Drosophila melanogaster: one gene and its partners. The protein of the gene in region 2 interacts with the protein of the main gene of each other region in a pairwise test. Each region holds a gene or a part of one and is shown on either strand. Other genes may lie near its edges. The genes, in order: CG5359, Spt, CG17211 and epsilonTry.

Region 1 (7,479 bases), on a different chromosome or scaffold from region 2:
GAATAATTCTCCTTAGAGAAGCCATGACCCTGTTCACTAACTTTCCGCCAAGCAACTGGGCTTCAATCAGGCTATACATAAAGGTATTATTTATTAGGGCCTGTCATTTCGATTACCAAAGATAAAATCAGTTGGGAATACACCCCACGAAGAGCACTTGTTGCTTATAATTAATTGACTTTGGCCAGAACTCATCGATTTCTCTTGCCGCCTTCATATGGAATCATAATCGTGGTTGAAAGGGAAGCACAACGAAAGGGTTGAACTCATAATTTGGATAAAATGTACCAATATTGTTAACAATTTTAGTTTTTTCTTTGGTTTTTTATTCCTGATAAATCAGCTTTCAGCTCTGGGAGGGCAAACATTTTCCGCGTAACATCGACTGTCTGTCTGATCCACGAAGCCGAGCTCGACTATGCGATCCGATGCCAGTTCCATCGATCGGCTGCGGTATTTTAGCCCTCTGCTCAGCCAGCTTTAACTTCAGTTTGGCAGCAGCAATCACGCGAATCAGTTCGAAACAGTAGCGAGACGACCCCATACTATTCGCCATCCGTATCCGAGTCACTGCATCTGAAAAACTATGTGGAAAACGCTGGGGCTTGACGGTTGACGAATTTCAGAATAGTCATCACCTTGAGTGCAGATCATCAGCTGGGCTAATTGAATCGGGATCGCAAAAAAAGTGGAAAATAATGAACGGACTGCAATTGGGGGGATAGCGGATAAAGCTTGCCAATTTTTGTTGCTAAATAGCCGCGAACGCGACAATCAGAGTGCTAAGTGAGCTATCAATCAGTTCGGACCGAGGTCAGCTGCATTGTCATGGCTGGATTGGTGCTACTGTTCACCTGGCTGTTGGTCCACCTACTCCAGGTGGATGCCCACTATATACAAATTGACCATGAAGAATTTCGTGCCAGCGGCTTTCCGCATCCGCACTTTCCGCCGCCTCCGCTAACGCCGCTGGATCATCTACCTCAGGTGCTGGCCGCCAAGGAGCTGACTCCCGCCGAGGTGATGGTGGACCTGACCAACGACCTGACCCACCGCCTGCTCCACTACCATTCCATCCTGAACCGCAACAACTTCGCCTTCTCGCCCACTGCCTTGGTCAGTGTGCTGGTGGCTCTGTTCGAGGGTTCGGCCGGGAATACCGCCGAGGAACTGCGCCATGTCCTGCAGCTGCCCAACAACAGGGATGTGACCCGCGTGGGCTACCGCGACATCCATCGACGACTGCGGGTGAGATTGGATTCCACCAAGTAGGCCATTGTGGCAGCTGCTTTGAACTTAACCCATTGCCATGGGGGGTAATCCGCTCGAGAACGCCATCCAAATTAAGTGGCCACGCACATTTACACGCCTGGCTAAGCACCAGTCCGAAAGTGAGGTGGTTAGAATGGGGAGCACCAAGTGGTCATTGATAAAGAACAAAATGAAAAACCAGATATGCGTACTGACAAACAAATTGCCCCAGGCCCATGACCAAAGCTCAATCGATCTCCAATCTGGTTTCAATAGTTCGTCGACCCCATTGGATCGGTTAATCTCCCAAAAAACTAACCAGCATTTGTTCAAGTGAATAGATTTTTTAATTGTCCATCGTTGCGTACCTATTGCTGATCAGAATTTGGGTAATGAAATTGATCAGTAGGCTCGTTGGAGGGCTAACTTAATTTTAGAAATTTTTTTAATTAGCAGAGTCTAAATAACATATATATTTTACAACTTGGGACTCTATAAAGGACATACTCAGCATATATGCTAAATAATGATTGATAATCTAATGTTATAGATTTTTATTCTATTTTCCAGACTTACTTTTTTGGCTCCGACAATCCACTGAAAGGACTCAGCTTGAACAAGGGCAATGTCACTGTTCTCAAGGACTTTGAGACGGTTCTTATGTTTTACGGATATGACTTAAGTGTAGATATGCTCTCCTCCACACCAGCCAATCTCACATCAGATGCCGAGTTGGTCAACACCACAATGGCCAGCAATACGACGACCATGGAAATGGATGCGGAAACCACAACGTCAAAGGATGCGGAGAGCACAACAGAAGAGCCGGCCACAACAACCACAGAGCCGCCGGCGACGACAACGGCAGAGCCACCAACCACCACCACAGAGACTCCAGCGGAAACGGAGGCCACCACAGAAGCACCTGCTGCAACATCGGGTGAAGAGGAGGCCGCTGAGCCCGCTGGTGAGGATGAAGCAGCCGAGTTAGTGTCCGCTTTTGTAGCCGAGGAGGACTCCGAGCCTCTCTTGCGCATCCAGAAGGCTCGAGTCTCCAGATTGCCCACCAGCAAACTACAGGCGCCGCTAAAGCATTCGAATCCAATCACTCCCAAGCCCATTTACCTGCCCAGTGCGCGAACAGTGGCCATGCCAATGCCAATGATGGCTCGCCAGGTGGCGGAGCGAAAGCCACCAGGAACACGGCAAGTAATTTCTATTATAGCGCCATCCGTGCAACCAGCAAACATATCGGTGACTCGCAAGACGAAGACAGCACGATACAAGCGTCATGCGATACCAGCATACAAGGATCTGGATGCAAATCTCTTTCTGACCCTCTTCAATCCGCACACGCATGTCCCGCACCACCCGCTGCACTTTCCGCCGCCAGTGCCCGCTGCCTTTGCACCCATCACGAATGATTTTGAGCCACACTATATCGGAGAGGCGGCCGAGGGAAAGTCCAACTATAACACGGATGTGATCAGCCACGTATTCTACTTGGGCAATCAACAGGTGGTGCACACCACCTTCAAGGTATATAACGCAGTGCTGTACTACAAGTACTTTGAGCACCTGAAGATGAGCGTGCTGGAGTTGGAATTGGACACACCGGAGTACAACCTAATGATCCTGTTGCCCGACTACCACACGGATATTGTTGCAGCCGCCGCCTCCTTGAAACTGGGACCAACCCTTCGACTGATGCGGAAGCAGTTGAAGCCACGCTGGGTGCAAGCCATCATTCCAGATTTCAAGCTGCACGGCACCATGTTTTTGACAAACGACTTGCAGAATGTATGTATTCATTTGTAGAGTGCATTTTTGTGTTTTTATTGAGGTGTCTTTGGTTTTTGTGCTCTCTGTTGCAGATGGGAATGTAAGCATGGGTGTAATAGCTCCAGTTCCTGGCTTCATTTTACTTTCGTTGCAGCTGCGACGTATTCGAACCAAATCGCGCCGATTTCAGGCCCATGACTGAGGAGAAGGGCGTCTACGTGCGACACATTGAGCAATCCATAGACGTCACCATCCGTACGCATCCCATCAATCAGCTGAAGCGTAAGTGTCTCGCATTGCAGCACACCTGAATGGAATGGAGTGGAGGCATTGAGCCGCAACGCATTGCGAATGCCCAACCTAATGGTGTTGCAACAGTTGCAGCCTCTGCAACACGAGACAAAGTGCAATAAACACTTCCTTTTACTCTCTAGGCAACTACGGCGCCCAATCGAAGCCCATTCAGATCTCTGTGAATCATCCGTTTCTGTTTTTCATCGTCGATCGCGACTTGGACGTGGCTGTGATGTCGGGCCGCATACTGAATCCGCTGAACGTACGCATCCAATGAAGCACGACGAAGGTCGACTATCGAAAGTGATGAACCCTTTGTTCCCGGTGCCTACTAATACGAGATGTTAGCATTGCTTAGATTAAAATGTAAATATACGGGGGTGTCACGAGACTCTGGGCAGATGAAATTTGAATGGAAGTAAAGAAACTTCATACTTAAAATTATCATTAAATTAAACAACATTTGTTGAATATTTTATCTATATAATATTTTTAGAAAACACATCTCGTGACAACCCATTTAATGTAAGCTCACCCCATTAAAGTATAATCCTTAGTCTAACTAGTTCTGTGGGAAATCGGTTTTAGTACTGATACGTTCCAAACACTGTACAGACGCAAAAGAGACTGGTGTTGCTGAAGACCTCGGAGACGGAAGTGTCGCAGTCGCAATCCCAGCAGCAGCGCGAGTTGTAAGTGGCCCCCGCACCCAGCTCCTGGCCTAGCATCACCTGGACCACGTGCTTGTACCGCTTCACCAGGGAGCTGCTGGCTATCTGCTGGTTCACCTCGTCGGCGATCTCACTGGTCCACTTCTTGGCGACGTCCTTGTCATAGGTTTTGTCTTCAAATAGTGAAGTTGCTAGGCAACGCGCAGTATATTTATGGATTTTCACACTAACCTTTGAGTTTCTCGGCCATAACGTTGTTCATTATGCTCTTGATGGTGGGCAGGGGAAACATCTCCCCAAAGGCCGGTCGCATGCTATAGGCGGTGGGCTGGTCGCCGGGCTTTTCCGACTTTTCTTGATTTTCCAAACCATCGGCTGAGCCGGAGTGCAGACTTCCTGACGCCGACTTTTCCGACTTCCTATCCGCTGGGTTGGGCACTGTTAAAGTCTGGACGGATTTGGTTGTTTCCTCAGTGGACTGTTTGTCAGCCATCTTTTGTCAAATTCAGCGTAATTCCCTTTCAAAGTGTTTAAGAAAGCACCAAGAAAATCTTGGTTGCTATGTTTGTTTACTTATTGCTAGTGTTACCAGATGGTAAAATGGCTTTCCCGCCAATCCCTAATTGTCAGTCACCACGAATAACCGAACTTATTTGGTGTGGCCACTTTATAACAACGAAGTGTGGCACCTCTTTCATTTTCTGGATAATTTAAATTTATAATACGCGCCAATATTTTATGTGCGTCAAGTTAGCGTCGATGGCGGAATTTCCCCATTAAAGAACATTTCTTTAAGGACATTTAAGGAAAACTTCACGATAAAGTAGAACTATAAAATCGTCCTTAGGTTTCATAAAATCTTTATTCAATTCAAAATAAATCGAAAAGTTACATAATAAATTCGATAAATATGTTTTTATATATGCAGGTTATAAATAAAGTTACGCAATAATTTAAATGATTTCGTTAGTATACAGTTAATGGTTGCTTTCTCGCTTACATCGCTATGTGTAGGCTCTCGCATTTAGAAAATATTTGTGTGCATCTCTTTGTGTTCACTTTGATTTCGATTGGGGGCAAATGACATAATACATACATGGGTGTGCTGATCGGGAGGATGTGCGGAAGGTGCTTTGTCAAATAAATAATAATACACTCAAACGGTTTACATAGAAATCGACAAACAATCGCTAAGTGAAAATAACCTAAGAAAACTCAAATACACCATTTACATTTGCTCAAAATCACATACCCTTTGCACACGCTCACTACATTACATTAAATAAAAACACAACATATTGCATAGGACATACAAAAATCAGACAGATTTCAGTGGCAACGACTAACAAAACGTACAATTAGGTCGAATACGAAACTAAAGGTATTCGCAAAAACATTCGTAATCCCTACTTTTAAATTGCGAAATTAGTTTTTTGGTTTTGATTTCATCTCTGCCTGTTTTTACATTAACCTTGCGCGCTTCTCCCATATTAGTTAGGCTCTCTACTTATATAAATATTGAAATTGTTCTTAGCCAGCTTATCCACTTTGAATAGTTAGTTGCTCGTTTCGGTTACAGCTCACGGGTTTTAGTATTGTTAATTCTGTATATTCAGCTGCCTTTTTGGTACGCTCTCCCCTGTTCCCTTGTTTCATCTTAAGTATTTAGGCTCAACAGTCCATGCACCACTTCGCAGACCAGCAATCTCCAGGGAAAGTTGGCTATTCAAATCTGAAACAAGTGGTGTTGTCAATTTCAAATTTAAACATATAGGTCCTATTTACTCACGATCGATTCTTCGTGGTCATGCGGTTGTCCCGTCAGCTTAATGCCCGTTGCCTCGGCGGACGTGGATGCTGATCCCGCTGCCGTGAGGTCGAGCTGGGAGGCTGTGGGTCGTAGGGCGGCTCGCTTGGCGACAATTTCCAGCATCTCGTTGAGAATTGCTCCCTCGGCGGCCACATCGGCAGAGCTTTTGTCCAGTTCTGCAATGATGGAATTAAATATTATATCAAAGTTTTGAGAGGAAACTATAACACTCACTGTTGCAGGACAAGCGCAGATTGAGCTCTTCCTTCAGCTGGGCATGCCGATACTCCAGTTGCAGTTCCTGTTGCCTTATAGTCAGTTCCTCATCGCGTTTCCTAAAAACAAAATTACATTAGATTTGTTTATTATAGAGCTTCATTGATTAGCATACTTGAGTGCTGTGATGTTGCGCCAAATCTCCAAAAGTTCCTTAAGTAGCTTCTCGTCGTTGTCCTTTGTCGCATCCAGGCTGTAGAAGAGATTTCATTTAATGGGTATTCAAGGATATAGCCAGATCCTAGCACTCACTTTTCAATATTCTGCGCCTCGCCTCGCAAGGCCTTCTCAATAAGCACGCCGCGTGCCTCCAGATCCTTCAGTTGCACCTCGATCTCCTCCTGTTCCCGCTGAATCTCTTGAGCGATTCGCAATCGCTTGAGCTCAGCTTGTCGTGAAGCCTTCGATATGGCACGTTGCTTCTTATGCTCTCGTGTCTCGTTAGCGTAGCTCTCATCTGGGAAATAGGAAAGGGGATCAAATCAGGCCGTAACGTTTCCGCTTGTATGAATATTCAGTGGGTCGGGACAGGAAAAATGGGTGGACGGTATATGCAGACATAGAATGAGAAGAACAAACCATCGGATCTCTGATAATTCAGTGGAAGAGGCGGTATGGGTGGTGGTGTCTGGTCGTCCAGGGCACTGGGATGAGCTGCGGCCAGGTGGTGGGGCTTGTGTATATAGAGCTGCGGACTGGATGAAGAGAACGATTCGGGTTTCGGTTTCGCAGTGTTCGTTTGCTTTCGATAGCGACTGTTGTTCGTGGTGTTCAGATACTCTTGCGAGTGATTTTTCTGTGATGCGGATGTGGCTCCTGCTGGAGATGCTGCATTGCAGACCAGCATATCCTTGTCCTAGTATAGCATGGCGTTAGGAGGTATCAGAATATATATCGGTTTAAATGATTGAGTGTTTTTCAGAGGAGGAAAAAAAGAGGTCGAGAAAAACGTATGGAAAAATAAACAATATTCAAAATCTTATTAGAAACAGCTTGTTATTTACTAAAATATAGTACATGTAACGTGCAAAATGTCCAAAGGCAAAAAACTTAACACATAACTTTTATTGATTACCATAACCGGGAATCCAGGGAAACCAATCATGCAAAATATCCATTATGCTTAAATCATAAATAACACTTCTTAAACTAATTCCCATTAAACAAAAAGCTGCCAAGTACTTAAGCCATAAACACTTAAAGTTTAAAACACACAACTGAATATCCTTATGTCCGTAAGGTTTCCCTGAAACCCATGCGCTCCTAATAGATATTAAACTAAGAAAACATATATGTTATTTTTGAGGCAAAAGAAATAATTCAGCAGTCAATCTTAAATGTTAAGACTTAGATTACTTTTGCTGCAAAGGGTAAAAGAAAACAAAAAATAAAGTA
Region 2 (8,686 bases):
CACCCATTTTCTCAGTCTCACAATGATCGATTTTGTTATTTGGCTGGCTTTTATTTATTTATACAAGTTGACGTGTATTGCAATCGGTAGGGTGTGTCGGCGTATCGCTGCGAATGACAAATACTGCTAAATACGATTCCCTGTGAATTTCAAGCAGGGCGGGAAAATTTAAGAAGACTCACTTTAACTTTTGATGCGAAATATTTGATAGTACGTAAAATTCGAAAATATATTATTCTAACTTTTTGTACATACAACTATAATGTTGAATAAAAAGTAGTTGGGCAACCGAACAAGAAGCTGTTTATCTAATGAACTAAATGTAATGCATTTTGTAGTTCTTTAATATATAAATTAAAAGCACGAGGTCATACATTACCCGTATTTACTTACTTTGAAATCAGCGACACAACGAAGCACATACAATTGTCTGAATATTTTATTATTACACAGTTCGAAGTGGTTTGATTTCTTCCTTAGACATAGCAACTTAAGAATCGAATACAATAAATCCGTTGACAACCCGCCATGATATTTTAGATTCACATTGACAAACAGGCGTGAATAAGTTCTTAAGGATATCAAGCATTTAAAAAGTACTGCGCCAGAAGTCTACACCTTACATTCGTACCCTGGCGTGGACGATTTTGAATGCATGCGTATCAAATACCTAGCTAATGTTGAAAAATAACATGTACATTTGATTGGAAAGTGCATTACGTTCTGTGGTTCAATTTTCAATTTTAAGTAGTTGGGTGTTACACGCGTATGTATGTACCTTTTATGATTTAATTGGAATAGATTTAGACGAGCAGACGCGATTCCTGGTGGACATGGAGATGGACATGGACATGAACATCGTTTAATACAGTGGCTTGCTCGACAATGAATTCTTCTACGAACACGAATAGGACAACTAACTAAATTGGCAAGTTGTTGTATAAATCGAATGTATATAAACAAGCATCGCCGTCTCACACACACATGTTGCAACACCGAGACGAACCGAACACTCGTGTCTTACAATTAATTAAAGGAATACAACTACATAAATACACCGCGTATTTATTGCCACACATTACCGATATTAAGATTCCCAAACTGCTGGTTCAGATTTGACGGTACTGAGGAGGTGGTGGGCCCCGTTGCGGCAAATCCGCCCGCTCCTTGTGGCGGTTGGCCAATGTTCAGCCCACTGGGCAGGGGCTGCATTAAGTTCATGGAGAGGCCGCCAAGCTGTGGGTGATGTTGCTGCTGAAGCTGCTGCTGATGTTGCTGCTGCTGTTGCGGAACAGCTCCAAAGAGCGGCATCCCACTGAGAATGCTCTGGTTCGTTTGCATAAGATTTGTTGCAGCTGCCTGGCCTGCGGCAGCATAGGGACTGCCCCCGGTGCTGGGAAACTGGGCTCCAGTAAAGCCATGGGAGCCGCCCATGCTCATCGCAGTGGCACTGCTGATGGCAGCATTGCTGAACGCATTCGGTGCAGCCATAACTGGCGAATTATACATGCTCACCGAGTTCGGCGGTGTCATAAACTGGTGGGGGATCTGCTGTTGCTGCTGCTGGTGCATATAGCCGCCTGGGGCCATGCCCGTGAAGCCGCCAAAGTTCATCTGGGGGTTGTGGGTGGCTGGCGCGCTGCCGTACAGCGCCAGAATGCTGTCCTTGGACATCTTGCCAGACTGATCCTTCTCGTTGCCGCCGGCGCCCAGTGAGCCCTGGTTGAAGAAGTCCTGCTCCTCTTGTGCCAGCGAGTTCGGCTTCGAGCCCATCAAATTGGCGGCGTCGCCGTTGCTGCCAATCGGCTTATCCGGCTGGCCGGCAATCGATTCGGCGCTGAGAAAGCTGGTGAAACTTTCGTTTTGCAGGTCTTGGCTGGCATTGGTCGCGACAATGGGCTTGGTGGGCGAGGACAGTCCCAAGAGGTCGCTTTCGCCGGCACTGCTAACGCCGCTGCTGTTCAGCTGGACGCGTTGCGTCGTCTTTGGGCTGCAGCCGCCGACCTGGTTGGGTTTCGGCTTTGGAAGCGGCGCGGGCAGGGGGGTGTTCTTGAGCGCCGACGCAGATGACCCGGACAGGCGCTTGTCGCCGCTGCCACCGGCCACTCCAGCCAGGCCCAAAGTGGCCTGGGCCTGCGTGCTCTTCTTCTTGCGCTTCTGGCGCTCAAGCTCCTCGTCGATCTCCTTGGCCCAGTCCACTTTCGGCGGCGAGGGAGGCACCCACTCGCGGGCCAGGTACTTCTTGTGCTCGTACTTGGCCCGGATGAAATTCTCCAGCGCTGTGTCCGTCTGCGGGCGACGGAAGCCGTCCGGCAGCTGCGCCTCGTAGACGGCGCGAGCCCGCGAGTTTCCCATCTGCTGCAGCGAGATCACCTGCTCTGGCGTCCAAGTGTCCAGGTTGACGGACTTGACGCGCGATATGTGCACGCCCAGATTGCGATGGATGCCGGCGCAGCGGATGCAGAGAAACATGCCCAGGTTCCAGGAGGCCCAGCGCGGACCTAAGGATAAAAGGTAGCATTCAGTGACAGCACATAGGCTCATATCGCAGTGCAGCTGCATGTGTGGTGTGTATATCCACGCACGCACGCACACAGATGTGCGTCACCAAGAGGCGTATCTCTTGGCGGAGAAGTGGACCCCATTAACATACCCTTGGCATCGCAGTCCACGCAGTACTTGTTGTCCTCGTCGCGGAGCATCTGCGTCAGGAGGGTCTGGCACTTCTCCTGAATTAGCTTCGTGCGCTGTCCCGCATTCGAGGAGCTCATTTTGGGGTATGCTTGCGGTCTGTGAGGCCTGGTTTCGATATTTGTGGCGGGGCGCAACTGTGCGACGTGGCGTGGGCGACGGGTAGAGTTGGCGGAGCTTATCTCTGCTTCACATGGATATACAACTACCAGCGAATTGAATTGACAATTTTCTACAAGTTTTTGCTACCGAAAAAGTGATGCGTCCAGTGGGACCGTGTGGCGGTGAAGGCAGCTAGCCTCCCTGGTTGTCACTAACGCCAAGCCGTGCCATCTTGCCATTCACAGGGAACCGAAGCCACTTTTTAAAAAAGTTGTTTACTTTTACTTCTGCCCACAGAACATTTGAACTCACATTTGCCGGCAAAAATGGAAATTTTGCGAACGAAACTAGAGGCCTGCCTGCTGATACTGAACAGGAACAATGCAGCAGCTGCAAACTGGCTGAATGTAAGTGGGGGAAACGGACCACTAGCCCCAGGACATCAATCACTTGTTGCTTTGAATTTCAGGACCTGTGCGCCGTGCTATTGGAATTCGCTACTTTGGCCCACAGCTCCTTCTGCTCCCAGGGGCAGTCGGAGTGCTCGGAGCTGGTGTGCCTCTGCCTCAGCCAGATTATGATCTGCATTCGCCAAGTGGAGAACACCATGAAACTAGAATGCGGCACCACAGTCTCGGTGAGTAATTTGGATCTCATCCATGCATTGCACAATGATGTCTAATCCTCTGAAAGCAGGTAAGTCATCAGTACTTCCTGGACCGCATTCGCTGGTGCCTGAAGCGCCTCATGCATCTTTACAGCGAAGAATCGAGTTCCGAAGCAGTAGCTCCGGAGCGCTCGTTCCTTAAGCTGGTGGATGGCGCATTGGATTGTTTGGCGCAGTTCACCTCGCACAGTGAGGAAAACACCGATACCTCCAACTGTCCAAAGACTCCCAAGGAAGTCCTTCCACTCAGCCAGAAGTTGCGCGCCAACATTGATTTGATCTTGGGTCAATCTCTGGGATTCGCCAATGTGGCTTTGTCTCAGGACAAGAGGGCTCTCAGTGCCTTGTGCCAAAAGGTGGGTGTACATCTTCTGCAGTATCCCCTTATTTATTCCCCTCATTTGTGCTCTAGGTCATCCGGGAGTGCAATGCCTTTCAGGAGGAGTGCAAGGAGTCATTCAGTGCCAACTACCTGTCCACCCTTAAGCTGCGGGCCATGACCATGGAACAGGCAATTTACCAATTGGAGGACTTTATCAACGATGCGCTTTTGCGCTTGGTATTCACATGCTTCCTGGACTTCGAGAAGTTTTCGGTAGACAAAATTAGAGCGCTGTTAAGGAACAGCCCAGATAATGATGATCTGGCCGATGAGTTCATAGCGGACTTTGATGTGAACATAGATCGCGCCACCCAGATAGGCATTTTTGCCATTTCCTTTGCGCCCAACTTGAAAAGTATAATAATTATATATAATTATAAAAAAAAACGCAATTAACTCCAGTACCAATTCCTTTTCAGTGAAAACCATAATGCGCAGCTGTCTGGCCTCCTTTGAATCACTGGACACCACTCTGATACCTTCACTGCAGGCCCATGGTTCCGATTTGCACTCGGACATCCTAGAGCAGCACTTTAACGAGGAGGTGGCCAAGTTCAAGGCAGCGCTTCAGGAGATCATCGACAGCCGCGCCCTCGTTGGTTGTTGCCTGGAGATACTGACCTCAGGGATAAGTGCAACGGAAAAGCTTTTCGATAAGCAGCGATTGGAGGACTTGGTTCAAATCTCTTTGCTGCTAGTCGAGCACTTTCAGCTGGAAGTCAACCGAAAGGGTCTAAGCGAAACGCAGGACCGATTGGGGGAAGAGTACTACCAGCAGTTCATCCGGGTACTGCGCGAGTGCAAGGCTATTTTGATGTGCGCATCCCAGGTGGAGCCGCAGAGAATCCTCAAGCGCTTCAAGATCTTGCGCACGATCTTGCGCAAATTGCACGGCTCCCTGGGAGCTGGTAAACAAGAGGAGGAACTTCCTATTCCCCTGGCTCCCCTTTTAGCTGATGATACCAAGGGGGTAAATGAAGACGAAACCCATTTCACTGGCTATAAAACAGCCCGAAGCGGCAGTATCCTCTACGACACAGAGCGTAGGAATAGAGTAACTAGACGAACGGACAACAAGCTACCCACAAATACCTTGGACATTAAATCGGATAAGGCAAAACCCCATGGAAATGTTCTGAGAAGTAAGTCGGCTGATGTTTAGATAAATTTGGTAAGGTTACCAATGTTTTGAATGCTATTTTCAGGAGAAAGTTTACGGACTGTCATGTTCAAGCGGCAGAATATAGCTGAAAGCAGAAAGCTATACACCTCCATGAGTAATCAGTCTACGGATCTACAAATCACAGGTACCTAAAATGATTACATTTCCTATTTTATAAGTTTTTCCATTAAATTTCGTATATTTTTAGATATACTCGACCAACTCACTGGAATGTCCAATGGATACTTTGAATGCTGAAGCATTTCAACCATTTGTACATAACTTTTTATTTAGTTTAGTGTTTAAGTTCATACCATTTAAGAGATTTTGCAATTCAAACTTAACGTACGTCGCCACCTGAATGTCATAGGTCAGGTCAGGCATACACACAAACATGTATGTTCCTCGGGTGGCGAAGAGTATCGCATCGGAAACAGTTTAGACTGTTGTAAAAGTAGAGCAATAGGTTCCAATAAATATATAGACACATAGCACACTTGTCAGCGCATCTCCCTCGGTCGATTGACCTTTCAATTGCACTGGACACCCTCGTTCAACCCAACATGTGAAGCTGTGTGGGCAATCCCTATCGATTTTCCACCACGAGCGGCAGCCAGGACTCGCAGTCAACAGATACACACGGTAATTGCTTGGTAAACAGTAAGCACTCGGCTATGAAATCTCTGGCCGGCGATAAATTTGCTCTGTCCGAAGAGATTGGGCCACCGCCTTGTTCTCCCAAACACCGAAAAGCAAGTGCCGTGAGTAGGGACACGGATACAAATAACCATCATGTGGTGCCGCTGGGGATCCTCGTGGTGCTCTGCACTGTGTATCTCATGGTAGCCGGGATGCAGCGCAACTACAGGCACTATTTTAAGCCGGGCGTGGCTGCCTTCGACCTGCACCATGCCCAGCCGGAAGCCATGGCCGACGCCGAATTGGATGTCGCCGCTCCAGATGCATCGTGCCAGAGGTTGGACGTTTTCGGAAAGGAATCCAATCGGAATCAGGCAGTTTCAAGAAGATCCCAAGGCAGGCCCACGAAGAGAACCAAAAACGGCACTGGAAATGGGGTCAGCAAGCAACCTCGTCGTTTGATAAAGTCCCCGGAGGGGCACAAGAAGAAGGAAGTTGGCAAGAAGAGTAACACAGCGGAGCCCATTATTTACCTGTTCGCCCTTGTGTTTGTCTATCTGCTTCTGAAGGCCGCCTCGGACATCAACCAGCACTACAAGTCGGTAAGGATAACCCGCATTCCATTCCCTATTGCCACGTGAATAATCCTTCTTCGGCAGCAGAACAAAGGGGACAAGCGACTGCGCCGGTGCTCGCTGCAATCTTATGCCCAGATCCACAAGCAGGATCGCCGGTCATCAAAAGGTATTTCACCAAAATCTTTGCCAAAGTTTTAGCTCGCTGGGGGCCAGGTGCCTAGCCTATTACACCGTGTTAACGAGGGATCAAGTGAATTGTTATCCTATAAATCTAAATGTATCTACCACTATGTACTGAACTAGCCAATCTTCTCTACTCTAAAGCACCAGTTTTCTGACTTTTTCGGAAAATGTATTGTTGTGTATTGTGTATCTCTCGTCTGTCCTCAATCTCTATACATCTATACATCTGTACATCGCACTTTTCGGGCTCGATTATGCGTTTGATATCTGTGTTTTTGAACGACCTCCACTGTTTACCTCCTCTTCACCTATCTGTGAAACTGTACTGAATCCGAATATAAGGTTGTACATACTCGAATGTATATTACTGTCCTAAGTGTACGTAATCCTAAAATAAATCAATTACTATGTGCTTTCCTGTGATCAATTTACATACGTAGCCGTGTTAGCTTGCGTTTCATTTCCTCCGTTCGATTGGGCTTTTACGCAATCCTCTGCGATCCTCTCTCACCCCGAATCCCAAACTGACCGCTCTACATTTCCCCAATGCATGCCAAAAGTGGATGAGTCCCCCATCTTCCGGCGCAAGCATATAATCAGCGAGGAGCGTTCCGTATCTGTGGATCGCTTCAAGTACACGCTAAACGATGAGGGAGGCTTCACCAGGTCCGTTCCGCTGGTTCAGGAGTATCACTACAGGGTGGTATCTCCTTTGGCCAGCCGACCCAGTCAGCAGCATCCGCATAAGCCGGGATCCGGAGAAGCCCGTTTCGGTAAAGAGTCCCCACAACAAAGTGACACGTCCCATAAGACCAACTACTTTCTTCTCTAGAGCCTCGTCTTAACCGTCGCTCCTCGGTTCCGATCAGCATTAACTATCAAACGGTGCACGTATCGAGTCCACATCCTCCGGAAATGGCCAGGCGCGGCTCGGTGATAAGCCTCACTGGGCCACCACCAGAAGTCAGTGGTATGCCAAGTGGAGCCGCTGATCCAAAGCGGCGCGTCCGCATGATAAATCGCCATTGAAGTCCAGAAGTCCAGATGAGATCAGGACACAGCCCAACGAAATTGCAAAGAGACTACAGTATTTTAACACACCATTCGGAAACAGAAACCGCACACGTTGTAGTCCTTCTTAATGCGTTTCTTTTAATCAGTTAATTATGTTATATTATTCAAGTGTTTTAAAAAAACGTACAAAGAATATTCTTCTCGAAGACACCGAATTTACGCCCACTTCGGCGGGCAGCCGTTTGCCGCAGCATTTTGCCATCCTATTGTACATTATTCTACTTAGGGCAAGATTAAAAAAATCTTAGGCTAGCGTAGTGTTTAGTTTGGAATTCAGTACCTATGATATAACCATTATCTACGAACTAACTACGAACTTGTGATGCTCATTACAATTACAATGACAATTACATACAGCTGGGTATGTATCTGGGTTGAAAGACCTGCTGGGCGAAGCGGATGAAGAGGGTGCAAGATCTTAACTACGGTTGACGCGCTACTGGATCGGGGTGCGGAGTTATGGTCGGAGTGGTTGGTCCCTACGGCTAATACACGTATTCTACAAGGCCTCCATCTTCATCGAATTTTGCGCTAGTTTCTCCTATTCCATTAAATATTAAAATAAATTACGTATTTTAATTGCATGTGGTTGAAGTTCGTCCCTGCGCCGCATTCAGCTCAGCTCGTTGCCCTCGTACAGGCTCTCGCAGCTCTCGAGCAGGCGCAGCACGGGGGAAATGTCGTAGGGGTAGAGCTGGCGCGACACGAGGCGGGATATCTGCAGGCGCAGCCGGATAAGAACGCCCATCGCCTCGTCTAGCATGGCGCTGCCCATGCCGAAGGTGTGACAGCTGTGCACGAACATCGTCCAGTTCATGCGGATGTACTTGAGCAGGCGCAGCAGGTAGAGCAGGAAGCAGGTCTCGTTGCTCACCAGCAGGTCCAGCAGCAGGTCCGAGCTGTTCGATGTCATCTTGAGGAACTCCAGGAATGTGTACACCGGATTCAGCATGGCCACCAGCTCGGGGAAGGCGTTGTTGCGGAACGATATCCCAGACGTGACGTCCAGCGTGCAGACCATGGCCTCGATCAAGTGGTCGTCCTGGTCGTCGAACAGGTGGATCAGGATCTTGCTGAAGTGGCACTCCGGATGGAATTCCAGCGTCTGCTTTATGAACGTCTCCAGCTTGCTGAGTACATCGCGGATCGAGCGCTCAATGAGCATCATGTCCTGGAAGGCATCGTAGTCGGTGGAATCGATGGATGAG
Region 3 (8,559 bases), on a different chromosome or scaffold from region 2:
ATCTTATCTCGTAAAGAGAGAGGAACACGGTGAGCAACCAACGAACAGATTTATATGCTTCACATATTTTCGGGCTGTAAATAACAATTTCTTACATTGCACAATAACAGAATAACGAACCGAATCATTGTGAAATATGTGAGTTAAGTAAATAATGTTGAGACTATGGTTTCAAAATCTAAACATTTCTTACCAGAACTAACCTTTTTAACAATGGTCTTATAGATATTATATTTATAATATTTTCCTTATCAATGGACGGGGATCCCCTCGAAAATACAGAATGACAAACTTGAGATATTGCCCTCAACACCCTTTTGCATCTATTCTCATTGTTGACTGAGTCTATCATAACAAGAGAGAAATATATATATATAAAATCGTATAATCTTAAGTTATAATAGGCTCTTATCTGAAAGACAAGGGCTCTGATTGAAAGTTCTTATCATATTCTCGGTTGGCTCGCATGAAATTTTTTATCACGAATTAATTTAAAAAGCCGTCGATAGTGCCAATGTAAACAGTTCTGTGAAAACCATGATTGCGAATGGACAACAAACCATGTGGCGCCATCGCCACCTGGCCACTATCCTCCTGCTGGCGGTGTGCGTTTCCCAAGGATCTGGATTAGCCTTGGACCAACCCGAAGGACGCGTTGTGGGTGGAAAAGCGGCGGCGGCCAATAGTGCTCCGTATATAGTGTCCATGCAGTACGGAGGAACTCACTATTGCGCCGCTAACATCATTAATTCCAACTGGCTGGTAACGGCTGCTCACTGCCTGGCCAATAGGAATCAAGTACTTGGAAGCACCCTGGTGGCTGGAAGCATTGCGGTGGCCGGAACAGCGAGCACAACACAGAAGAGGCAAATCACCCACTATGTGATCAATGATCTTTATACCGGCGGAACTGTGCCCTATGACATCGGATTGATTTACACGCCCACCGCCTTCACTTGGACCGCTGCAGTGGCTCCGGTGAAGCTGCCATCGTCCGGCGTGAGGCCAACTGGAAAGGCTGACCTCTTTGGCTGGGGCAGTACTAGCAAAACGAATAGCCCCTCATATCCGAAAACCCTCCAGGAGGCGAAGAACATACCCATCATAAGCCTCGACTCCTGCGCTGCGGCACTTGGCTCTAAGGGTCAGGATGTGCACACCACGAACCTGTGCACAGGTCCTCTCACCGGCGGCACCAGCTTTTGCACCTCGGACTCCGGTGGTCCGCTGGTCCAGGGAAACGTTCTAATCGGCATCGTGTCTTGGGGAAAACTTCCATGTGGTCAGCCCAACTCTCCGTCGGTGTATGTCCAGGTCTCCTCGTTCATAACATGGATAGCAGCCAACCAAAAGAAATGAATTCTGGAGTATAAGATAGTATCTGAATAAAGAAATACTTATGAGATTGCAGTATCACGTGCTTATTATAAATGACAACTTTTAGAGTCTTTAAAATCATGCATTAATTGATTGTAATGTATCTTTGAAAGAACTTAAAAGCATTTATATACATTTTGTTATATGTCGAATTATCTTATCTAATAAATAAATAGAGCTAGTTTAAGAAGATGGTAACCAATGTATATATATATTTTATAACAAAGTAAATCAGATAAGACTATAAATGTTTTAGATATCCAACTTATATGTGAACCCAATTTTAACTAGATAAAGCTTTCCAAGAAGTAGCAAAAATAAAGATATAAAAATAAGCTTTATCTTTTCTTTTGTTATAAAAAACTGAATATAAACCAAAAAAGGGTAATGTCAACAAGATGTTATCTTTACCAAGAAATATCCGGATTAACTTTCCATTTTTCTATTGCACAACTATTCTGAGCACTATACTCCCCAGGGAACTTAGCACTTGGAATGAGTTTTGCTTTTGAATCCGTCTCACTTTTGGTGTCAGCACGTCCAGATTTCATTTCATCCCAGACACTCCTCTTCAATCGCTGTTTTTATCAATCATATTGATCGGAATGTTCTTATTGGGAAACTAATTGCTCGGTAAGTTGCTGGACACGATCGCAATCAGTTTATTGACACGACCAGTACATAATTGAATGGACATATCAATTTCCCATCACAATCACACCAGCAAAGCTTATTAAGTGCCTCCAAAAGAGCTTCGCAAGCAAGGCGGCCAAGAGCGCGGAACGTGGCCCAAAGAACGATGGCCAGAACACGCCCGCAGCTAATCAGGCTCTAATGGCGATAAATATTTCATTCTATATTATTCTGTTTCCATTCCCCCAACCAAACACGCCTCCAAGTCCCAGTCAAGCTGCCTGGCCAAGGAGTCAAGACAAAGCGACGACTCAACGGGAATGGACAGGGGAGTCCACCAGAACAGACCCACCGACGGACCCCCGCCTCCATCAGACGGACAAAATCTCCGACGCGATCGATGAAGACAAGGCTGATAAAGGAGTCACCATGCGGGAACCAGAGATGCCGCAGTGAGTCCACCCGAATTTCGAAAAAGTGGAAGTTGCATTTCTTATAGAGAGTAATCAATTGCGATCATTTGCAGCATATTATGAAGAACAAGTTTTAAAACTCAAAAAATTTGTTTAGTATAAGTTTAAAAAGAGTTTTTAGTTTATAAAAGTGAATACAAACTTATGTTGCATTCACGATGTCATCTCCGTTCTGAACAAAAGAAATTCATCTGAGCAAAGTTGAGGCAAGGCCAGATCACTGTGCTTCCTTCGCAATCTTTGTGTTATGAATCGAACAGATTTATGCAACCTGGCGAACAACATGGGCGGCTGCTCCTCCGTCGCCAGTCTCCAGATCCCTGCTCCCTCAATCGTTTGCTGCGTTCCTCCGCCGACGAGGATGAGGATGAGGATGCGACCGCGACATTTGGCTGCGCCATTATGAGTAATGGAGTAATGCCTGGAATTATTTACTTGGGGGCTTTATTGGCGTCGGCATTTGGCATCGGAATGAATGTCTGTGCTTTATGGTCTTTTGTGTATATACACACGCAAGTATATATTATTATATTTTTTCATGTCGGGATTCTGCGGTCGGAAAGACTGCGAATGGTTTTATAATTGGTAAAGGGAAGAACGGATTATTGAAATGAGTTAGATATGATTGGGCCATAAATAAGAGGTATAGATTGCATTGTTGATTCAAATAAAGTGACTAATGTGTTTGAAAAAATAGTAAATAGTGTAAAATATACAAAATATGTGTGAACAAATAAATTCTTGTCTTAACAAATAATATTCATATTTGCATTATGCTAGGTATAATTTTGTGTACATGAAGTTGAAAGTAAAGCCCCGCAAAAGTTACACCATTATTTTAATCACATGTCACGGACAATTATGTGTGGTGTCAATGAAGGCAGCTTGTCACTTTCTAGTTCATTCAACTCTTTAAATAAACTATTGAAGGTTTTTATTTTTCAAAAAAATAGCCCGTCCGAACTTTTATCTTTGCAATCGTTCCGCGAACTTTGGCCAATCTTATGGACAAAATCTAAAGCGAAATCTAATTTTTAATTGGCCAACAAACTGCGGACAAGCGACATTTCATGCTTATCGGCAGTACAACCAGCAATTAATCTCCCTTCGGTGGAATGGAGAAGACTCTCTTAGCAGATGCTCTCTTTCTCTCGAGAGAATATATCTCTTTCGCTGCAGCTTTCGAACGAGAATCTTTGGCGCGCTCGAACAGAAAAAGAATTCAGTATGCAGACAACTTTCTTCCGAATGCTTTTCTTAAAAGCAACTCGAACTTGTTGCTGAGCCTCAGTTTGAAAACAGCACGCGACGCGTTCAGAACGAGAAAACCATACGCGCAAGGTGGATATAAAAATAATAATAAAAAAAAAACACAATAAATGACTCTTCTTCGAAGACTCAAAGACTAGAAGACACTTCTTGTGGTCAACGATGATCGAACCCTTGAGTGGCAGTGGTGAAGTGCAAGCATAAGCAAACAAACAAATCAATAATAAACTAAGCTGTGGAGTTATATTCAATGCTTTTTTGTTTTTGTGCCCCACAGTTAGAGTGGATATAGGAAAACCTCAGACTGGACAGGTATGTGAACTTGCGGAAAACTCCAGGAATGCATCATTGGGAATTCTTGGTTCGTTCTTGGGGTCGTTGTTGCGGTTCTTTGTGGCCTCGCCGCCAGCTCTTTCCACACTTTGGGCATGCTAAAATTTAATAAGTGTTTTCCTCAAACCGTTTTTCCTGTCGCCTCTTTTTCACGCTTTTTTTTTCTACGTAGCTGTTCTTGTTGTTCAATTCTGTGATGCATTACCGTAGGGGGGGGGGGTGTGGTATATGCAGTTGGCACGTCCCTCTTTGCCGCCACCAACTTGGCAAATTCTTGCGGCACATTTCATTTATCTGTTTCGCTCCCGCTGCCAAAAGCATTTTCCGCGTCGTGTCGTGTTAACGGTATTGTTTACATGGTTAATAGAACCCACCGACTTGGTGGCCAGATAAATAAATACTAGTAGACACACACAAAAACCTACAGCCGGAGCCAAAAGACCATGCTTCAGTGCACTCGTTCTTGCGGCCGCAGAGACAAAAGCAAAATCACACACAATCGAAAGACTCAGGCAACGAACTGACTCCACAGGCAACGATTCCTGTGTGTTGATCTAGGTGTAATGAGTGCGGTAAAACAACATATACATTTTAATTCGTTTCTTGGAAGACTCTAATAATATTATCAAAGATTTCTGCACTTCTTTGCGTATTTATCAAAGCGTAAAGAGAACATGAAAATTCATATTTTATTCAATACAAACGAAAGACTGAGGCAACGAACTTTCTGGTAATAAAAAGTAAATGGTGTATTTATTTAATTGAATTAGAAATGAAATTCCCAACTGTATAATGTTAATCAAGTTATTCCGATTCCCAGCAAATCTATGCTAATTAAATAATGCTTACCAGCTTGCGCAGACCAATTAAAGAAATAGTCGATGACAGTAAAAGAAGCAGCCACCAAATTGCTTATTTATTAGCCAAAAGAAAAGAAAATATCTGGAAACGGCATGCTAATGATGTAAACTAAGCATTTAACTGTTAAGATGCCAGCAGCGGCAGGCAAACATAAAAAGTCGCATCACTGGGGCACACTGTGAGAAAAGCGGGGAGGTTCAATTGGGGCAAGACGAACCCAAGGTAACGCCGACAAAAAAAAAACTTAGGCGACTTCCTAAGACAAATCAAAGCCGTTACAATGGTCGCACAGCCGCAAAAAACGCACTCGGAATTGGAAAACCGGGGAAACCAGAAGGGAGAAGACCGAGAGTGTGGAGATCAAGGGAGAGAATGTAGGTTGCACTGGCTTTAATTACACTGCACAAAAAAGGAGGGTCAACAAATAAAAGATAAATATAACTTAGAAAAAAATCACCGTCGTACAAGTTTTGGGCAAAGTTTGTCCATCCTAAAATGGGAATATAAAATAAGATATTATTATTATTTATTAAATGTAATACTTAGTAAAATAAATCTATCTTTCGGCTTAATACAAATAAATCTTTCAAAATACATTACGTAAGAAAAAATGTGGATTTCTAAGATCTACCTTGTCATTATTATATACTCGTCTTTGTTTCCTGTGTATAAATGTTCAGAGTAATCTTTTGCTACTCAGATACTGACTGTGATGTTGTTCTTACTTTTTTGTTTAAGAAATTACCGTTTTATGTTGACAAAAAGAAGCAAGAAGAAGCAGCTGCGCTAGAAGAAGGAGAACTGGCTTAAGGTTGAGCTGGGAGTTTGAGTTTGTGTTTGGCTTCTGTGTGATTACAGTACCGCTCCTAATGATCATCATTAGATAGCCAAGGGTTTTTTTCTCTTCCATCCAGCTGCTGCGCCGATTCTACTGCTTCTTCTTGCCACTTCTTGGAGCTTGACGTGACGACATGCAATCGCAAAGAAGGTAGAAAGAAGAAGCTATAAGAAGCGGTAGAACAACACCAATAATATTTGATAATGCAAAGCGGAAGCTATAAAACTCGTGTGTAAGACGACATTTTACGTTAGACGGCCATTAAGGCGAGCCAAAAGAGAATTTGCTAATTGCCTGCAATTGAAAATGTTAGTGAAAGAACTCAGGGAGCTAAAGGAAATCTACGAGCTTGGGTACGAAGACGGGAAGAAAGCTTCATTAGGCTATATAATAATGTCTTTAACTGGAAGTCGAAATACACGACAATTATATGGTGCATAAATGACCTATATTCTATGTAAGTCTCAACTTTGAGAAACTGAAGAAAATTTTAAAAATGTTTGTCAAAAATCGTAGAATAATAAATTCATTTTATTCACTTACGCAATTAGTTGTAAAAAATAATAATCTTACCAGAAATTTGTAGAGCCTAGTCGAGTTAATGAGCTTACAAAGCCACTTGATATCTTTAAGGTATCAAAAGAACTTCCTGACTGCCCTTTGGTCATCTCGATAATCTGACCAAAGTGTGGTGTGCCACAAATTCGATTATCAGGGCCGGGAGCTGAGCTTCGACCGCCATCTCAAGGTCGAAAAAAAAAGTATCTTGTATCTGGTATCTGGTATCTAAACTCTCCTTTCAAGTGGAGCGCTGTAGTCCAGCCCACAGTTAGCGCGGCCACATTAGCAACATCTGATATGCCGAATAGCACTGGGCACTTAAGGAGAGGCCCCATTACCCGGCCAAGAACAACAAAAGCTGGCCCGCACGTAATCTGATATTGCAACGGTGAGGCAAGCAGCTGAAAAAGAGTGCACGTATAAAGAAGGCAGCGAAAAAGCAAAAACCAAACCAAACTTAGCCTGGCCATATGAGGAGAATCTCTTTCTTTTGTGTCGCCACTATCCGAATAACATCAGCGAAATACACGGAAAATAAGCAGACTTATGGAAATTAGATATACCTACCCCTATAAAAGGGTGTTGCTGGTCCATATATGAGGTTTATATTATGCAAAATATGGGCTTCGTAATTAATCTATTAGATTGTTGTTTATGTAACCAAACATTTTAGTACCTAGCTTATATATAAATGTATTTTATTTGGACACTTAGGTGTCATTTTTCCCATAGATATTAATACAATTTAATGGGGAGATATAAATTTCCTTTTTATGACCTTTGTTCTATGCTTCAATAAAACGTAAACCCATGTGCTTCCTTGACTTCTGTCGGCACATTTTTTGTAACGCATTGTCAGATTAATTGCCACAGGAGGAGGAATTTTAAAAGCCATCTATTCCCTGCTAATTAACTTCGGACTCCTCACGGCGACGTGCTGCAAGAACAGAGTCGAAGATAAAACATTTTATGGCTCTCTTAGGTGCTTTCCCCACCTGCAGCACGCCCCATTCCAACGCCAGTTGAAGTACAAAATACAAAAACCAAACCCTGGGCCACTCTAAGCCAAAGTCGGGCCTTGGGTTATTTATCAGAGCTGTCAGCGGGCCATAAATTCCGACTTTTGTCACTACCATTTATGGCCTAAAGAGTTAACCAATAAAAAAAAAAAACACAATTGGCTGGCGCAATGCGTTATATAAGCACTATGTCTGCATCTGATCTAACGGTGCTTGGCTCTGGGTTCTTTTGGGGTTCTTTTGGATTCTTTTGGAGTCTCTGGATTTTCTTGGGCTGCCCGGTTTCCTTGTTTACAAGACACCTTGACAAATGTGCCCGGAAAGAGGAAAACATTCGAGACGGAAAAACAACACGAGTCAGAAATTTGCATGGCAACTGAAATGGAAATGGGTGGAGTGAGAAGCAGCCAGGAAAAAGAAAAAAAAACAACAGCGATCACAACTCCATTGCAGTTTTATGGTGCATTGTCTTGCAGCGCTAGAAAGCTGAATAAAAAAAAAAGAAAGGAATCGCCAATTGTAACAAAAGTCAGAACAAGTTTGCCACAAACTCTGGCCGGTCGTTGGCTTTGGCCCACAGAGATGCGCGTGTGATGGAATTATGATCATGTTTCGCGGCACTTATGGAGTTTTCTAAACCACACAATATATGCACTTGCCATGACTTCAAAAACTGGGACACATCTTAAAGATGTGGTCTATACGAATTTAAAGCACGAAGCTTGGTATTTCTTTCAAATTTCGATTTTACTAATTGGTATATATATTTCAAAGATATGAAACCACTTATAACTCCGCAAATAAGTGCCATCTCTAGCAATTGAATTTAGAATTCGCCCAAGGAGTCGCATCTTTAAATTGTGGGAAAAGTAATGCAAGGCAATGGAGCACGTTCCATCTGCTGCATGATTTATGCATTACAAAAATATGAACTCTATATTAATCGCGGCCTGTCATGTTGACAATTTTATTACGCCGTTCTGGCCGCATCACGAATCCGATTATTTAACCTCGAATGGAACCTTTTGTACCTAAAAAACTAGTATAGTAAAGAACCAAAGCAGGGCGACATCAATTTGCCAATAGGTACTTGGGGGTATTAAGAACTTTCGGTTGATTGCTTGGCGCAGTTTCGTTTGTGGATTCGCTGATGGTTTTGGCTTTTGTGAAAGGTGCCATAGCTGGACGACACAAA
Region 4 (7,186 bases), 2.4 Mb from region 2:
ACCCCGCCAACGGCGCTGCGGCCTCCGTCTCCGGATGGGGCACTCTCTCCTACGGATCCAGCTCCATCCCCTCCCAGCTGCAGTACGTGAACGTGAACATCGTTAGCCAGAGCCAGTGTGCTTCCTCCACCTACGGATACGGTAGCCAGATCCGCAGCACCATGATCTGCGCTGCTGCCAGCGGCAAGGATGCCTGCCAGGGTGACTCCGGTGGCCCACTGGTCTCCGGCGGAGTCCTCGTCGGTGTTGTCTCCTGGGGATACGGATGCGCTTACTCCAACTACCCCGGTGTCTATGCCGATGTTGCTGCCCTCCGCTCCTGGGTTATTAGCAATGCCTAAGAAGTATGCGAAATAAATTTCAGTTTGGATATTACTTTTATTATGTTTCATTGTGGTTTTGACCTATTACTGATTCAACAGTAATGTGTCTTATTCAGCAAATGGGAAAGGAAACCTTCTAAAAAATGTATTCTCACCTCCTGAAAAATAACAAACACCTAGATTTCTGTCGGGAGGTTAATAATGGTTTAAATCATTTTAATAAATTAAAGGTAATTTGTTGAGGTACCCGTTTTCGATCAATTACTACATAGTTTAACTTATGTTAACCGAACTTACTCTTTAACAAAAGAGAATGCTATATTCGAGTTCCCCGACTATCAGATACTCTCGTTACTCAGCTAGTGTCAGGGTGAACGAACTAGCATCTTTCTTCTGGCATATCGATAGAAACTCCACAGTGAAAATGAATGAATGAAATGAATGAATGATATGAATGAAATGAATGAATGATATAAATGAATGAATGAAATGAATGAAATGAATGAAATGAATGAAATGAATGAAATGAATGAAATGAATGAAATGAATGAAATGAATGAAATGAATGAAATGAATGAAATGAATGAAATGAATGAAATGAATGAAATGAATGAAATGAATGAAATGAATGAAATGAATGAAATGAATGAAATGAATGAAATGAATGAAATGAATGAAATGAATGAAATGAATGAAATGAATGAAATGAATGAAATGAATGAAATGAATGAAATGAATGAAATGAATGAAATGAATGAAATGAATGAAATGAATGAAATGAATGAAATGAATGAAATGAATGAAATGAATGAAATGAATGAAATGAATGAAATGAATGAAATGAATGAAATGAATGAAATGAATGAAATGAATGAAATGAATGAAATGAATGAAATGAATGAAATGAATGAAATGAATGAAATGAATGAAATGAATGAAATGAATGAAATGAATGAAATGAATGAAATGAATGAAATGAATGAAATGAATGAAATGAATGAAATGAATGAAATGAATGAAATGAATGAAATGAATGAAATGAATGAAATGAATGAAATGAATGAAATGAATGAAATTAATGAATGAAATGAATGAATGAAATTAATGAATGAAATGAATGAATGAAATTAATGAATGAAATGAATGAATGAATGAATGAAAAAAAAGTTTTGATTGGTTTGTGGGCGTTAGAGTGGGCGTGGCAAAAATATTTTTGGCGAATCGATACAAATTTACAAAACAATAAAAATGTGAAAAAAAATCAAAATATTTTTCAAAATTGTGGGAGGGGAGGGAGGGGAGGAGGGGAAAGGGGAAATATGGGTCTATGTCTCTAGAATCTGTATGCCTAATCTCAAGCTTCTAGCTTTTATAGTTGCTAAGAAACTCGACAGACGGATGGGGCTATCGATCCTGATCAAGAATATATGTACATTATATGATTGGAAACACTAACTTGTAGCTGTTAGATACATTTAAACGAATCTATTATACACTTTTACTCTACGAGTAAAGAGTATAAAAATAAAATGGTTACGAATATATCGTTATAAAGTAAGTCTTATGTAGAATGATGCGTATCGAGCCTATAAAATTCATATTCTTCTTGATCATGATCTAGATTTCCCTATCCGCCTAACGTACAGTCTTGGAAAACTAATAGAGCTTTAAAGTTGTAGTTAAAAATGCATGTTTTATTTACGACTACATTGCGCAAGTTTGCTTCTTAATAATGCCTAGTTGTTTACAATTCCAATCACGCTAATAATCCTTAGGGCATTCTAACAGAATATGGGGATAGTTAAATCCAATCAATCAATTTCCATAGTCCTAAAAGCAGTCCCTTTACTGCTTGCACAACTCACTATATCTAATAGTCATTGCACTCGAACAGTCATTACCATCTAAAAATGTGAACCCTGTGTCCTGATTTTTAACTAAGACCATCTTTTAAAATAAACTGACGACCGTCATAAACTGTTCATATATGATTTATTTCGAAAAATAATTAGGCGTTGTTGATCACCCAGGAGCGGAGGGCAGCAACATCGGCATAGACACCGGGGTAGTTAGCGGCAGCACATCCGTATCCCCAGGAGACAACACCGACGAGGACTCCGCCGGAGACCAGTGGGCCACCGGAGTCACCCTGGCACGAGTCCTTGCCGCTGGCAAAAGCGCAGATCATGGAGCTCTTGATCTGGTTTCCGTAGCCATAGGAGGAAGAAGAGCACCGGCTCTGGCTGACGATGTTCACGTTGACATAACGCAGCTGGGAGGGAATGGAGCTGGAGCCAGAGGACTCGGTACCCCATCCGGAGACGGAGGCAGCAGCACCGTTGGCGGGGTTGGAGCTAGCCAGACCGATGGCCTTGATGGTGGAGCTGAAGCTCAGAGAGGAGCTCAGATGGAGCACAGCGATGTCGTTGACCATGGTGTTGGCGTTGTAACCCTCGTGGTTCTTGAAAGAGGAAACCTTGGCGACGACGCCACCAGAGCTCCAGTAGCTGGATCCGGCGCGGATCTGCAGGGAGGAGGCGGACACGGACTGCAGGCAGTGAGCGGCGGTCACGATCACCCTGGCGGAGTAGATGGATCCACCGCAGGAGTGGCTGCCACTGCGCTGCAGGGAGATCTGCCAGGGGAAGCTGCTGATGGTGGTAGCAGTACCGCCGACAATGCGGCCATCCAACTGGGGCAGGAGACCCTCGGGGATGGTGCCTCCCAGGGCGCAGGCTACAGCCGACAACAGGATCAGGAACTTCAGCATGGTGCGATTGAATGGATACTCTTCGAACCGAAAAGTGTGCTTATATCGGGGGTCACTATCTCGGGAGGCGTTTAATCAATGGACAAGTGAGATTCCTCGTGGTTAAAGTGGATAACGATGTGGAGTGGTCGTCGTGTGATAAGCTGATTATTTCTAAATATCACCGCCTATATCGATGGTGAAAATGACGCAACAATTATGCTGAAGTTGCAGCTGTCAATCAAGTGGAGATATTTGCCGCGGGGACTGTATAAAAGGGGTTTTGATCCGCGAATCAGCATACAAACGATTAAAATGTTGAAATTCGCGGTACTTCTTTCCGTTTTGGCCTGCGCCTTGGCTGGCACCATTCCCGATGGCCTGCTGCCCCAGTTGGATGGTCGTATCGTCGGTGGTTATGAGACCAGCATCGACGCCCATCCCTACCAGGTGTCCTTGCAGCGCTATGGATCACACTTCTGCGGTGGATCCATCTACTCCCACGACATTGTGATCACCGCCGCTCACTGCCTGCAGTCGATTGAGGCCAAGGACCTGAAGATTCGTGTGGGCAGCACCTACTGGCGCTCCGGCGGCAGTGTCCACTCCGTTCGCTCCTTCCGCAACCACGAGGGCTACAACTCCCGCACCATGGTCAACGACATTGCTATTATTCGCATCGAGTCCGATCTGAGCTTCCGCTCCAGCATTCGCGAGATCCGTATTGCCGACTCCAACCCTCGTGAGGGCGCCACCGCCGTGGTTTCCGGCTGGGGCACCACCGAGTCCGGTGGCAGCACCATTCCCGATCATCTGCTGGCCGTTGATCTGGAGATCATCGATGTGTCGCGTTGCCGCTCGGATGAGTTCGGATACGGAAAGAAGATCAAGGACACCATGCTCTGCGCCTACGCCCCACACAAGGATGCCTGCCAGGGTGACTCCGGTGGCCCACTTGTCTCCGGAGACCGCCTTGTCGGTGTTGTGTCCTGGGGCTATGGATGCGGTGATGTGAGGTATCCCGGTGTCTACGCCGACGTTGCCCACTTCCACGAGTGGATCGAGAGGACCGCCGAGGAGGTGTAAAGCCAGACAAACACTTGAAATAAATCGCAATTGAATCAGCATTGATATCTGTTTCTCTATTTGGGCCCAATTGCGTCGCAGGTGTAAAGCCCTCGAAATTGCGGCTAGATAAGAATTGTAGCGTGGGCTGTATATAAGGTTGGACGGGCGGCATGTAAGCCAGCACTTGTTAGCAACGCCCATCATGTTGAAGATCGTGATCCTCTTGTCCGCCGTGGTCTGCGCCCTGGGAGGCACCGTCCCTGAGGGACTCCTGCCTCAGTTGGATGGCCGCATTGTCGGCGGCTCTGCTACCACCATCAGCAGCTTCCCCTGGCAGATCTCCCTGCAGCGCAGTGGCAGCCACTCCTGCGGTGGATCCATCTACTCTGCCAACATCATTGTGACCGCCGCTCACTGTCTGCAGTCCGTGTCCGCTTCAGTCCTGCAGGTCCGTGCTGGATCCACCTACTGGAGCTCTGGTGGCGTCGTCGCCAAGGTTTCCTCTTTCAAGAACCACGAGGGATACAACGCTAACACCATGGTCAACGACATCGCTGTCATCCGTCTGAGCTCTTCCCTGAGCTTCAGCTCAAGCATCAAGGCTATTAGCCTGGCCACTTACAACCCAGCTAACGGAGCCTCTGCCGCCGTTTCCGGTTGGGGTACCCAGTCGTCCGGATCCAGCTCCATCCCCTCCCAGCTGCAGTACGTGAACGTGAACATCGTTAGCCAGAGCCAGTGTGCTTCCTCCACCTACGGATACGGTAGCCAGATCCGCAACACCATGATCTGCGCTGCTGCCAGCGGCAAGGATGCCTGCCAGGGTGACTCCGGTGGCCCACTGGTCTCCGGCGGAGTCCTCGTCGGTGTTGTCTCCTGGGGATACGGATGCGCTTACTCCAACTACCCCGGTGTCTATGCCGATGTTGCTGTCCTCCGCTCTTGGGTGGTGAGCACTGCTAACAGCATCTAAGCTGGTACCCAGTAGGTTGGATGTGTCAAAAGCCTTCAATAAATATTTGCCATTCAGAACATAGATGATTTGTATTTGGTCTGGGTACTTTAACATAAGAGGGTTTACAAAATATACAGAAAGCTTTTGTATTTACTTCTATGTAGTTTAAGTTAGTGGTTAAGCCTAAAGAATAAAGTAGTGGAAGTTGAATGTATTACACATACCACTTATTACACCTTTCGTATTAACAATAGGGAAACAGTTCTCGAGGTTGCCCGCGTCACAGGTCTTATCTTTTGTAGGGTTCACGGGTATTCACATAAAGTAAGATAATTCAACGCACCTTCTGTGATTTTCACCGATTTCAATGGGCTCGAGTGGCTAAAGGTAAACATTTGTCCAGGACCAATCTAATCAACTTCGAGTGCATCGCGTGGCTAGGGTTCCAATTCATCTTCCATTGATAAGTTGAGTGATGGTCTGGACAGCTGTGGCAAGATTAATTAGCCGGAAAAAAATGAATAGATAAGATTGCACAGATTTGGACACTCGAAGTTGAACGTTTTGGTGAACCGTGACTGGTGAAATACTGGACGGTGTGAATAGATGGTAGGAATGGATTGTCTTCTGTTCTTTTTCTTATATTTGTGAATTAAACGCAACAACAATTGCAAAGAATAAACAATTTGCCATATTTTTTAACCGATAATGCTGTTTATAAAAAGTTCCATTATCAATTCCATAATAAAGTTGAAATTTGCCATTTTTAAGTAGAAATTTTGATTGGCAGAGGGTCGTTCATATAGCCACCCCTTATTTTAACGGGTATTTCCAACTCGACGTAGCATTGGTGACGTTTGTGCTAATTTGTGCTTTTAATGGGCCATTAAAATTGTCTCTTCTATGACTTAACCTACTTTTTGGGAATTACGTGTCGTAGAAATCACCTTTGCCATTTCGTAAATGTGGTAAAAGTTATATCTTTGCATGTGAAATTTTCAGTAAACCTCAATTGGGTGAAGGAGTGTCTTGCCTAAGACTCACATATCCACGAACCCCAAAGTCAAGTGAGAAAATATGTCGGAACATTTGGTATGAAATCAAATATATCCTAGTAAATATCTTTTTTACACAAAATTTATTTTTGCACATAGTTCTTGAATAATAATCGTTATAGAAAAGCCATAAATGTTTTATTTGGGTCATCGCTTATTTTTTAAACGGGGAATACTATAAAGGTGTGTCTTGTGAAAAGCTCCTCTAATCACCTAGAATGACAAGGTCATTCTAGCTTGAGGGCAAGCTATCTATATCTAATAACACCCGTTGAAGTGCCGACTTCCGAGTTTAGACTGGTGCTGCACATACACATACATACGTACCGCTTTCTTTGATTGATAGCAAGTCTGATTGATAAGAAACAAGCCTACGGCCTTCTAGTGCATGGTATGCTAATTCCATGGATCAAAAGATCGACCGATACTGTCAGCTGGCCACTCAATGGTTAACATTCCACCCACTTCATCAGCGTATTCGCGCCTGATGGAAAGTTATAAATGTCTGCCATGGTTAACTGATTGGTCAGTGTTTTTCCAGAATGCACAGATTAGTGGTTCTTTTAGTTTGCCTGGCTGTGGGTTCCGCCTGTGCTGGCACAGTCGGGGTCTCCAATGGTGATCCCTTCGAGCGCGAAGGTCGCATTGTCGGCGGCGAGGATACAACAATCGGAGCGCATCCCTACCAGGTTTCCCTGCAGACCAAGAGTGGCTCCCACTTCTGTGGTGGTAGTTTGATCAACGAAGATACTGTTGTCACGGCGGCCCACTGTCTGGTGGGAAGGAAGGTCTCCAAGGTGTTCGTGCGTCTCGGTTCCACGCTCTACAATGAGGGTGGAATTGTGGTTGCTGTCCGGGAGTTGGCATACAATGAGGACTATAACTCGAAGACCATGGAGTACGACGTGGGCATACTGAAGCTGGACGAGAAGGTAAAGGAAACCGAAAATATTCGATATATCGAACTGGCCACGGAAACGCCGCCCACTGGCACCACCGCTGTGGTCACCGGCTGGGGTTCCAAGTGCTACTTCTG

Evidence for each region.
Region 1: the proteins of Spt (region 2) and CG5359 interact in a two-hybrid assay, tested with the Drosophila melanogaster proteins (one large-scale study listed by BioGRID).
Region 3: the proteins of Spt (region 2) and CG17211 interact in a two-hybrid assay, tested with the Drosophila melanogaster proteins (one large-scale study listed by BioGRID).
Region 4: the proteins of Spt (region 2) and epsilonTry interact in a two-hybrid assay, tested with the Drosophila melanogaster proteins (one large-scale study listed by BioGRID).

The regions. Positions count from the first base shown.
Region 1 is NT_033777.3:9,996,711-10,004,189, forward strand, and holds CG5359 (uncharacterized protein), read right to left. Parts: upstream 4,567-7,479; 5' UTR 4,492-4,566; coding exon 4,230-4,491; intron 4,172-4,229; coding exon 3,912-4,171; 3' UTR 3,863-3,911; exon of another isoform or gene 3,796-3,862; intron 3,659-3,795; 3' UTR 3,605-3,658; coding exon of another isoform or gene 3,468-3,604; 3' UTR 3,316-3,467; coding exon of another isoform or gene 3,188-3,315; 3' UTR 3,134-3,187; coding exon of another isoform or gene 3,126-3,133; 3' UTR 3,061-3,125; downstream 1-3,060. Other genes in the region: Gr85a (gustatory receptor 85a), read right to left, coding at 1-79; Spn85F (serpin 85F), read left to right, coding at 829-1,248, 1,822-3,051, 3,126-3,133, 3,188-3,315, 3,468-3,604; Mical (molecule interacting with CasL), read right to left, coding at 5,725-5,730, 5,788-5,984, 6,043-6,143, 6,200-6,277, 6,337-6,541, 6,664-6,940.
Region 2 is NT_033778.4:8,917,083-8,925,768, reverse strand, and holds Spt (spitting image), read left to right. Parts: upstream 1-3,013; 5' UTR 3,014-3,119; coding exon 3,120-3,200; intron 3,201-3,262; coding exon 3,263-3,430; intron 3,431-3,489; coding exon 3,490-3,816; intron 3,817-3,872; coding exon 3,873-4,197; intron 4,198-4,261; coding exon 4,262-4,984; intron 4,985-5,047; coding exon 5,048-5,149; intron 5,150-5,212; coding exon 5,213-5,262; 3' UTR 5,263-5,499; downstream 5,500-8,686. Other genes in the region: CG8237 (uncharacterized protein), read right to left, coding at 1-7; CG8243 (uncharacterized protein), read right to left, coding at 1,066-2,501, 2,654-2,771; CG8248 (uncharacterized protein), read left to right, coding at 5,679-6,245, 6,303-6,419; CG34219 (uncharacterized protein), read left to right, coding at 6,955-7,177, 7,237-7,433; lin (lines), read right to left, coding at 8,092-8,686.
Region 3 is NT_033779.5:12,110,587-12,119,145, forward strand, and holds the start of CG17211 (uncharacterized protein), read left to right. Parts: upstream 1-3,773; 5' UTR 3,774-4,064; intron 4,065-8,559. Other genes in the region: Phae2 (phaedra 2), read left to right, coding at 562-1,359.
Region 4 is NT_033778.4:11,342,249-11,349,434, reverse strand, and holds epsilonTry (epsilonTrypsin), read left to right. Parts: upstream 1-3,368; 5' UTR 3,369-3,387; coding exon 3,388-4,158; 3' UTR 4,159-4,198; downstream 4,199-7,186. Other genes in the region: gammaTry (gammaTrypsin), read left to right, coding at 1-341; betaTry (betaTrypsin), read right to left, coding at 2,332-3,093; alphaTry (alphaTrypsin), read left to right, coding at 4,343-5,113; thetaTry (thetaTrypsin), read left to right, coding at 6,693-7,186.